2 linked regions of the Arabidopsis thaliana genome follow. The protein of the gene in region 1 interacts with the protein of each later gene in a pairwise test. Each region holds a gene or a part of one and is shown on either strand. Other genes may lie near its edges.

Region 1 (3,265 bases):
AAGCATCTGTTCATGCCTTACAAGATCTGCAGCTTAACACCAAAGGTTGCCCCTTGAGCGCTATACGCATGAAGTATAGGCAAGAGAAAGTAAGCTTATCAGTTAAAACCACATACTAAAACCTGTTTGGTATAACTTTAGTTTGGTTTCCTTGATTCTCATAAGACTTATTATGGATTTGCAGTACAAATCTGTGGCGGTTCTCACGTCTCCAAAGCTACTTGACACGCTATTCTGAAGGTTTCAACTCCTAACCGATAATAGTTTTGTCACATTGATGGTCCAATTTCGTTTTCATTCATCTGTTACTCTTTGTTCATAAAACAGAATTTCCACAGTCCCACTCATCTAATACCTGATTAGAATTCGGTTTAGCCTAGTTTGATCCGTGGTTTGGTTCTTCCAAACCCGGGAACATCTAATCGGTACCTAGAGTTTTTTTTATTGTAACGAGAATGTACATTTTTCTCCCATCTTGAGGCAATGTAAACAGATTCGGAATTTTCATATCAGTTTTCTGATATGAAGTAGGTTTAAGTATTTATATTTCAAATTTCATTGATTGTTGATATTGAACTGTCATGCAGTAGCTTATAAGAACCGCCTCTAGACTTTAGTCCAGTGACCAAAAGATAAAGATGAATGAACTATGTCAAAGAAAACAACTTCTACAGAAATTTCGGAAATCTTAGACTTCCGAAGAGAAATATTGAGTAACTGCAAAAATGTATATTTAGATATCTGTAAGGCTCACTCACATTCACATGTGACTATAAATATCATTCATCCTCTGTTACATGATCTCTTCATAATCCTTAACCTCTTGCACGATCCAAGGAACATTCTGCACACAAATAGTTTCATAATTTATTAGATATCAATTAAATAAAAGAAAGTAAATTTGAATGTTATAGAGGTCGCTAGAAACTTACTCCCAAGGAACATCTCCAGCAAGCATCCAATCTCCATCTTTGTCTTCATATATTGGTACACATTCACTTTCCTTCAACGTATCATCTTCATTTTCATATATAAAGATTATAAAGTTAATATCGATGTTTTGGATCATTAGTTGCCTTGATAAGTAAAGACTAAAACCAAAAATATATACTATATATAGAAACATAAACTAACCAAAATTGATATAGCATCCGAACAGAATTTGCAGAGCGGAAGCAAGATCTTGGTAACATTTGTACATTTCCAAATCAATCTTCCTTAAAAATGCAGCTCCATCTACACTCACTTTCACGTACGAACTTTTGGTCCGTTCGAGACTGTTCTTTCTCCGGTACGAACAAACCGGTGGCCAACCCACAACTTGACTCTTTTTCGCCGGTTCACATTTCAAATCAATCTCTACTTCCGGAGAAGCCCTCTTCTTCCCGGAGATGGACTCACCGGAGACGACGATATCTCCGGGAAGACCTAGCCGTAGTTCGGTGATTTCGAGTCCAAGATTATTACTCTCATTCGCCATCTTTGATGTTTTTGATTGAAAGTATTGGTGTTAATGTGTTTGAACTTTATTCTGTTGCCACTTTATATGTTCTCATGGGAACATAAACGATGGCGTTTGAGACAAGCTTGTTTAGCATTGATTTATCTTGTCGGCCCCATTCGAAGATCTTGTCGAAATTTTTATGTCATGTTTTTTCATTCCTTTGCCGCTTCGTGTTTAAATGTCGATAATATGGATCCGTTGGTTCGACACACTGGACGGCCACGATTTTGTTACCGACAAAGTAGGGTTTCTTTCTCAGCCGTTGGATCAGAAACACGTTACTTTCTATTAGACATCCCATGTTATGTGTGATTTGTTATGTCTGTATCCCATTCTTTTAATCAACGACATAATAATAAAACAACATATTCATGGTCGAATATATATTAGTGCACTTTAAAATCTACGTATATTTATGTTTCTCGACAACCGAACACGTGTTACTCAAGGCTAAGACAAGTTATTATATTATTTCATTTTTTTCTACACGTAACACACTACACAGTGCATACATAATTTCAAAGAAAAAAATGCATCTACGTTTTCGTCATATATCTTGTTTCTGCTATTCACACATGTGCCCGATACTTTCATTACATCATACGTAATCTACACATGTACACCATACTTTTGTCATTATTTGTTACGAAATAGAAACAGAACTGATCAAAATATCAATTACGGGATATATTTCCATTTTTCATAGATATTTCCATATCTTTGTATCTCCAATAGTACATTTTTGGAATGTTCACATGTTGATAGATAAGCTAGATTAGTCAAATTTCCTTGTACACAATTTCTAGTTTTCGATTGATCATGTAGAATTGCGTATAATATATTGTCGGCTGGCTTTAGCCAATGAATAACACAACAAGACTTTGTGATAATGGACAGCGAATCCCACAGTGATAATGATGATCACATAATCGACATTACAAACGATGAAGATTCTTCATCAAGATCGTCTTTGGACGAGAGAAGCTATCCTTCATTAAGTTCGTCTCTGTCTACGGATGACGAATCGTCAGATGAAGGTGCAAGTTCATCTACGAGAGACTGTGGTAGTCTTTGGAATATAATGGAATTAGTAGTCACTTTGGTTCAGATTGTTGCATCATTAATAGTTTTAACTCTGGCAAAAGATGAACATCAACAAGCACTTTTGTTAACATGGGTCATCGGTTACACTTGTGGCTGTATTACCATTACGCTCCTTATTCTCCTCTCGTGTGTCCGCAAATACAACCGAATTGGTGTTTACTCAAAAACGAGGTATAATAAACAACACTTGTTTCACTTAACATTAAGAGTTTAATTAGCTAAATCAAACCGAACCGTTGTTGGTGGCAGAACGGATAGGGTAATGGATGCTTTGAAGATGGGGAATGAATGTTTCTTTGTTGTGTGGTTAGTTATGGGGATTCTATGGATTTGTTATGGACACTCATCTTCTTCTGATACTCCTAAGCTCTACAGGTTTGACTCACAATCATGTCACAGTAGAGATTTAGTTAAACCCTAACTAATCAGTACTAACTTTTGTCTTCTTGATTATGTTTTGGCAGGTTATGTGTAGTCTTCATTGCTTTCAGTTGCATTAGATTTGCATATGCATTACTATTATGCGCAGGTATTTTTTTCGCTTAATGTTCACTAGAGTTTGGAACATTTTTTTCTCATATCTATGATGTGGATAAGTTGAAATCAAATGATGTAGATTCTGTAAGGGAAGGTATAGGAGGTAGATTTGTTTTCAAG
Region 2 (6,801 bases), on another chromosome or scaffold:
CCATGGTTACGTTTACGCATTTTGGGCAATTGCAGAATTTTAAACACAGAAAGGTAATAATCATAATCAATCATGTACTATTTTAAAATAAATTTGCAAAAAAGCATAATGAAAATTTCTGTGTGCACCATTTTTCAACTAAAATAGTACATACATTATCCCACATATTTTGGTACATTGTAAAAAATGAAATGACAGCATTACAATGGCTTTCCCTCTAATTTCATTCCTTATAATGATGAAATACAGATATTGTGAAATATTCCTAAAATGATAAAAATCTAATTCTAATATAGAAAATATAATAAAATTAATGTTAAATTTAAGGAAAATATAATAAAATTAAGGTTAACTTTTAGTTGAAAAAAAGGCTAAATCTATGTCACATCATTCTATTTAATTAATCCGTGCAGTATACTCTAATATTTATTTTCCTTAAAAAAGATTAAATCATCATCAAATATCTAGTATGTATTAGATATCAATCTAAAAATAAATAAAAAAATTGTAAGAACAATACAAGAGTATCCACATATGTAAGAACTTAAGAAATGAAATTTTCAAAATCAAGCAAAATACTTCAAAACTAATATATATATTGTAATTTTGAAAACCTTAAAATCCAATGGCATGCTTTACACATCCCATAAACTCACATATCTCTCGAGTAAAACGGTACACATGAGACATCCATGGAGACCAGAAGAAACACAAACAAACACATAAATGGATTCAAAGACAAAGATAAAGTTGAAGTTCTTTTGTGAGCAAAACACACTTTAAAACATAGGAAATAAGCTTCTTTATGGGTATCAAACCCTAGTGATTGTAGGAGAAGAATCAGGCTGGCTCACAGAAGATGACTTTGATGCTTCCATCATGAGAGCAGCTTGCTCTAAACAACTCTTGTTATCGTCATTCGCATTCTCCACTTCCTCTTTCGTGTATAAGTGTATCTTCCACACCACATTGCAGAAATCACTATCCATAGCAGAAAGCCAATTTCAAGTTAGGAGAAAAGAAGTTGTGATTGACCTTTAGAAGGTATGTATAAAGAACTTACTGCCATGGATCATCGCCAACGACCATCATATCGTTCTCACTATCAGTATATAAGATCCTCCATCCTTTTTCAGGATCCCTGAGAAGCCCTTCCATGTTGAACAGCCGTTCAAGCTCCATAAGGAGATCATCATACCCGTTAAGTCGCGACAAATCAATAGCTCTCCCCACTTGGCTTCCTTGCTTGTGAACCTTTTGATAACAATTCAACACAAGAACTGATTAGAAGAGACATCTAAAACTGCAACTCAAAGTAGCCAAAGAGATGATAAAGAAAACGTTTTACCTTTGTACAGATTCTTTTGCTCGAGCTTTGCGGCTTAGATGCAGGTGTCTCCACTGGTAAGGAGAATCCGAAAAGTTTACATCCTGATGAAGCATTCATATTCAACTCACTGCCTTTCTGTTTTCCCATCATATCAATCTTGAATGGCAAATCAGCTGTAACATTATTTGGTAGGCCACCTTCATTTTGTGCATCAAACTTTCTAGTCTCTTCACCAAAGTTTATTGCACGTGAAGGGGGACCCGAGGATTGGTTTCCCGCATTGTATGGATTCTGATACGGAACATGAGTGCTCCTAATCCCATGCAAAGCTAGCGGATAGTAACTTGACTTGTTGGCTTGGTAAGCAAAGGGATTAGGAGCAGCAGCTGGACTGAAACCAGCAAATTGCGGGAATGATTTAAGCGAGCAAATTTCTTGACCTTGCAAGACCCTTGGAAACCTATCCAGGTCCATAACACCTGAACAAGCTGGGTTCACGCCAGTAGCATCTACAAACTCACCAAATCGATCCTTGACTCTACTCGACACAAGAACTGGATTTGCATGAGACTGCATCGCAAAATCCAGTATCCGGCGGTTCATAACATCAAACCCCTGTGAGGGTGATGCAGAACCTATATTTTCTTGACCTTGCAAGACCTTAGAGGGTCTAACCGACTCCTCAAAGTCCAAAAAACCACCCCTTTCTGCTGCAACCAAGAACAGTTATCAATAATATACTGATGAAAATTGAGAACTGTTTGCAAAAGCATATACTCCAAAGAGAAGAGAGGTCTATATAATTTACTTGTTATGGGGTTTCCGGGTGGGGTAGTATCCAGTAAACCTGCCCATGGCCTTTTAGGCCTTGGAGATGACTGAATGCTCAAGTGTGGGAGAGAAACCGAGGGATCAATCTCCCAAGGTGAAACTCTTTCTTGATGATCACTCACAAAAGACTCATCCCATCGCACCTGCCAAACAAATGTGAAAGATTTAGATATCAATCTTCGAAAATGAAAAGTCTTCTACACGTTAATAGACAGATACTCCAAAAAGATGAGAGGACGCACCAACAAGCACCTCCATTTAGAGTTTGGCCACCTATACGGGTCCAAGTCACAGACTCCAGTCACTACACCAGCGCATCTGCAAGAAAGATCGAATATAAATTCTCGTCCAACAATATTAGCTACACAACACAGAGAAAGAAGCAAGAAAGAAACAATACCTTCTCTCAGGAGAATCGTCCATTTCAAATCGCATTCTAAATCTTGTGCCTATGCAAACAGGACTCCTGATGCTTGTGATATACTTCTCATAAGGAATCACAAACTCTGCATGCGTCGCTCTGTATATAAATCCACAAATCAACATTATAGTTCTTTATTTCTTACTGAACCTAGTTAAGAATCATTACGAATGGCAGCTTTTCATTTTTATCTCACCGTGGACTGTAGAACACATGAAACATGCTTTTTGTAGATACAGCATTAGCCACAAGAGACAGAATGTTTGAACATGAATTCTTCTCAATGATTGAGTCAGGAAGTCCATTTCTTGGCCGTGCTGCTCTTCTGATTCCTAATCTCAGCTCTCCTCCTTCGTCTCTATAAACGCCGATATTAGTAATGAATGTAAACATTATTGGATCAAGGGCTTCAAACCACCAAAGCAGAGGGAAACACCATGAATCTACATCACCATTTGATAAACTGAAATCTTACGATTACCTCAGAAAGAGAACCGCATCACCAGAGACGAGATTCTTTTGACTGACAAAGATACTCCAACCAGTGGTGAGTAGATGCCTCCTTGGTTGACCTATATTAAAAAGAGACAGAACTAAACATTTTGGTTTCACTGACGAAGAAAAAAGAAACGAATAATAACAAACTCAAAACCACCTCTATAGATATGGCGAAACTTCCACTCTACTCCATGGAGGTCCTTTGCAATGAGCTCTTGAGATGGCCTCTGTTGTTTGTAGTCCTAACACCAGTGGAAAATTCACAAATAAGGCTTATAACAAGAAGATAAAACCTCTCCTTAAAAAAAAAAATAAGGAAATGAGATATAGAGAATTATACAAGAGGAGCAAAACAATCTTCAGCGGCTCTTCTAGGTACAGAGAAGCCTCCATGTGTGCTTGTGTCAGACGCTGTTAAGGTTTTACAGAACATATGAGGTGTCCGCTTGACGGATGAGCTTCCGTTCCTCTCTTCCTCCCCTCCTAACTCCTTGACCTCTTTCCCCTCCCCATTTAGCATCGAAAACTATAAAAACCAAGAAGTTACTTCAGCATCTTAACATCACAGAGATTATAAATGAAACTCAACAAGACCAACGGTTTCAGTGATTCCTCTGATCCTGTTAAACCAATGATGAGTTTGAGTCACTTAGAGAACAAACAAGATTATTCACAATCTCTTTAAACCGTAGCATCTAAAATCACACCTAGAATCTGGAATTACACTAGTGATATCAAAAATCAATTGAATTGTCAAAAAAGCAACAAGTTTGAGTAAAAGAGAGTACCTCTTGAAGTGGAAGCAGAGTGACTTGAGTGTAGACCTCATCGGTGTCCTTATTAGCCTTTTGTTTCCCCAAAAGAAGGAACCAAGTTTGCAAACAATTACCACAATTAGAGAAAGAAAACAGAACTTGTTCAAGAATAGTAAAATAGAACACAAAAGGAATGTTCTTTATTTGGGTAGAGTGATACAGACAGACTTACAAGCAACTGGACATTAACCACCCTGCAGACGATTTGGGGATTAAGGTCAAATTTGGGGATTTCAAGAGGAGACGAATATGAAACCATAGCATCTTGCTCCAAATGACCTTGAGGGAAATAGACAACTACATTGCCTTTCTTGGGAAGACAAGTGAGAGGACCAGCACAAGCATGCCAAAGCTCAGAGTAAATGGAAGATGCAGAGCCTGTAGAAGATGATGACGATGATGATCCGGAAGAGCATGAAGAAGAAGAAGATGGTGAAATTCCAAGCCTACCCTTGTCAATTCTTGTTCCTCCTCCTACTCCTACTCCTACATCATCATTCTCCTCCTCTTCCACCTCCGCAATCTCAGTATTCAAGTCAAATTCCATTGAAAAAGCTTCTCTTTTAAGAGCAAAAGGAGACAAGAAGAAAACAAAAAGTTTCTATTTTTAATCAGATTACAACAAAACAAGTAAAACCCATCAAAGGAAAGTTTGCAAAATTCGAGCTTTGAAGTGACAGAATTCGGAATTCCTCTCCTTTTTCAGCTAAATTTCACAAAGAAGAGGCAAACTTAGCTATTGACGGGAAAGATGAGTCATAAGTGTGGAATAACGAATCAGAGACAGAGAGAGAAGAAGAGAGAGGAAGGAGGAATCAAATGAGAACAAGGGTTTCAGAGAAGGATTCTTCTTCCTCCATTTGCAGGTACTGAGAAGAGGGAGCACAAGGAACAGACATAGACTAAAATTTGCAGATTGGAAAAAAATATACTTTTTAAAGAGCAAAAAAAAAACAATTTAGTGGAAAGAGAGAGAGAGAGAGAAAGAGAGGGAGAGATAAGCGGGGGAGACAAAGCCAAGACAGAACAGAACCCACACCTACACTCTCCCTTTCTCCTTCTTCTTCTTCTTCCTCTTCTTCTCTCTTTTTTGTTTTTGTTTCCCAATAAAGACTTATTTATTCACATGAAATTTTATATATAAAAACTATATTTGTGTCAATATACACACGTTTACACAAAATAAAAGTTTTCACTTTTTTGCTAATTATTACCGTTTTTGATTTTCGTCCTTTTTGTTGAAAGAAGAAATGTTAAAAGTTTAATTAGGTGCTAATAAGACTAATTCAATCCATTGTCTAGATTGTTTTCTTCAAAATCAACTGTTTTTTAAATACGTCAAACCATCGATGAATCAATCGTTTAATTATTCATACTAGACTATTCACTCAAAATGAACCATCAAAGTTTATATGCATCTATTGGATTTATGGTATTACGAAATTGACGTAACCCTTTGTTTTTCTCATTCACACCATAATTTTCTTTAACTTGTGTGAGTTGTGAGGAATAAAAACCGCAAATTGATTAGCTTTTTCTTTGCATACTCTTACAAAGGAAACAGTATCTCTTTGGAATCTTTCTTTGTTCTTTCTTTTTTTATGTTATGAATTTTTATTTGTTTTCGATTTATTAGAAAAAATGCTTTTTCATTGCGTTGTTAAGAGCCAACCAACCGGCTAAAGACAGAAGAGTAGGCTCCTTTCGATTTTGTAACAAAAGCACTTTTTCTCTCTTTTTCTGAGACAAACAATATGAAAATCAGCATTTTGTTATTGATTAACTAAAGTACTGTCTGTGTTTAAAAACCTAATCAACTAAAAAAAACTTTCAGCGGTCTGTAATATAAAATTTATACTTCAATAACCACACCGACTCTTTCAGTAAAATAAAACTACTCAAATACTTACTACTTATTGGATAAATATCTTCAAATGGGTTTAGTAAAAATAAATAAAATATATTTGATGGTCCAAATGATTGCTTCATAATTTGAAAACATTTATATATACATTTTTGCAGTCATTTTAGCAAATAAATCTTAGAGTTGAACTTATTTACAACCCAATGCCATTAGCATTAAATCTTTTTTTCAAAATAATTAATTTTACTTTAAATTTTTAATTTAAATTGTCAATCACATTATCAATCAAATTTAATCCAAACAAACTTCACATCAATCCCTTAAAATTAGCATAAACGTATTTTATTAACAAAATTTTTTGTTTAAATAAATATTGTTCTTACTAAATATTTTTTGTTTAAATAAACAAATCATGTATTTGAACTTATTTACAATGTCATGCTACTGACATTAATTATTTAGGCATGAAAATATTTATTTAAAGATTTAAATCTTTTAAATTTTGCTTTTAGAGTTATTATATCATTTACCTAAAAGGCAAAAAATATTAATTTTTTAAATATTATTATTTGTATATTTAAACTTCATAAAACATTATTAATATTTGAATTTATAAAAAGTTTAATCTATCAAAAATAATTAACATCATTATATAATATATAAAGTTTAAAAAAATCTCAAAAAAAATTTCGTCATATTTTGTAATTCGAAATTTTAAGAATGAACATATATTAACCAATTGGCGAAAAATGTGTGGGTACAACGTCCCGCAACGACTAAAATATTTTGACAATGATTCATAAACATATTATAAATAAGATCAACATTAATAAAATAAATAGTTTTTTTTTGTGGACGGGTTTGGCAGGACGGGTTTGGCAGGACGTTACTTAGTAACAATGGTAAACTATAAAATAATTTACAAATTTTTATATATATTAATTTTTAAAAATGAACTGTGTCCGCGGTGTACCGCGGGTTAAAATCTAGTAACATGTATTTTTGCTCATATAATATTAGTTTGCTACTAATTCATATAACC

Evidence for each region.
Region 2: the proteins of IAA5 (region 1) and ARF4 interact in a two-hybrid assay, tested with the Arabidopsis thaliana proteins (2 studies listed by BioGRID).

What each region holds. Positions count from the first base shown.
Region 1 is NC_003070.9:5,364,981-5,368,245, forward strand, and holds IAA5 (indole-3-acetic acid inducible 5), read right to left. Parts: upstream 1,518-3,265; 5' UTR 1,481-1,517; coding exon 1,135-1,480; intron 1,018-1,134; coding exon 933-1,017; intron 845-932; coding exon 784-844; 3' UTR 532-783; downstream 1-531. Other genes in the region: CYCA2;3 (CYCLIN A2;3), read left to right, coding at 1-89, 185-238; AT1G15590 (E3 ubiquitin-protein ligase), read left to right, coding at 2,394-2,779, 2,858-2,983, 3,225-3,252. UniProt on the Arabidopsis thaliana protein: Aux/IAA proteins are short-lived transcriptional factors that function as repressors of early auxin response genes at low auxin concentrations.
Region 2 is NC_003076.8:24,307,746-24,314,546, forward strand, and holds ARF4 (auxin response factor 4), read right to left. Parts: upstream 5,040-6,801; 5' UTR 4,443-5,039; coding exon 4,068-4,442; intron 3,926-4,067; coding exon 3,869-3,925; intron 3,607-3,868; coding exon 3,421-3,606; intron 3,323-3,420; coding exon 3,238-3,322; intron 3,155-3,237; coding exon 3,064-3,154; intron 2,941-3,063; coding exon 2,779-2,940; intron 2,682-2,778; coding exon 2,562-2,681; intron 2,480-2,561; coding exon 2,404-2,479; intron 2,305-2,403; coding exon 2,139-2,304; intron 2,038-2,138; coding exon 1,349-2,037; intron 1,255-1,348; coding exon 1,064-1,254; intron 982-1,063; coding exon 813-981; 3' UTR 510-812; downstream 1-509. UniProt on the Arabidopsis thaliana protein: Auxin response factors (ARFs) are transcriptional factors that bind specifically to the DNA sequence 5'-TGTCTC-3' found in the auxin-responsive promoter elements (AuxREs). Could act as transcriptional activator or repressor.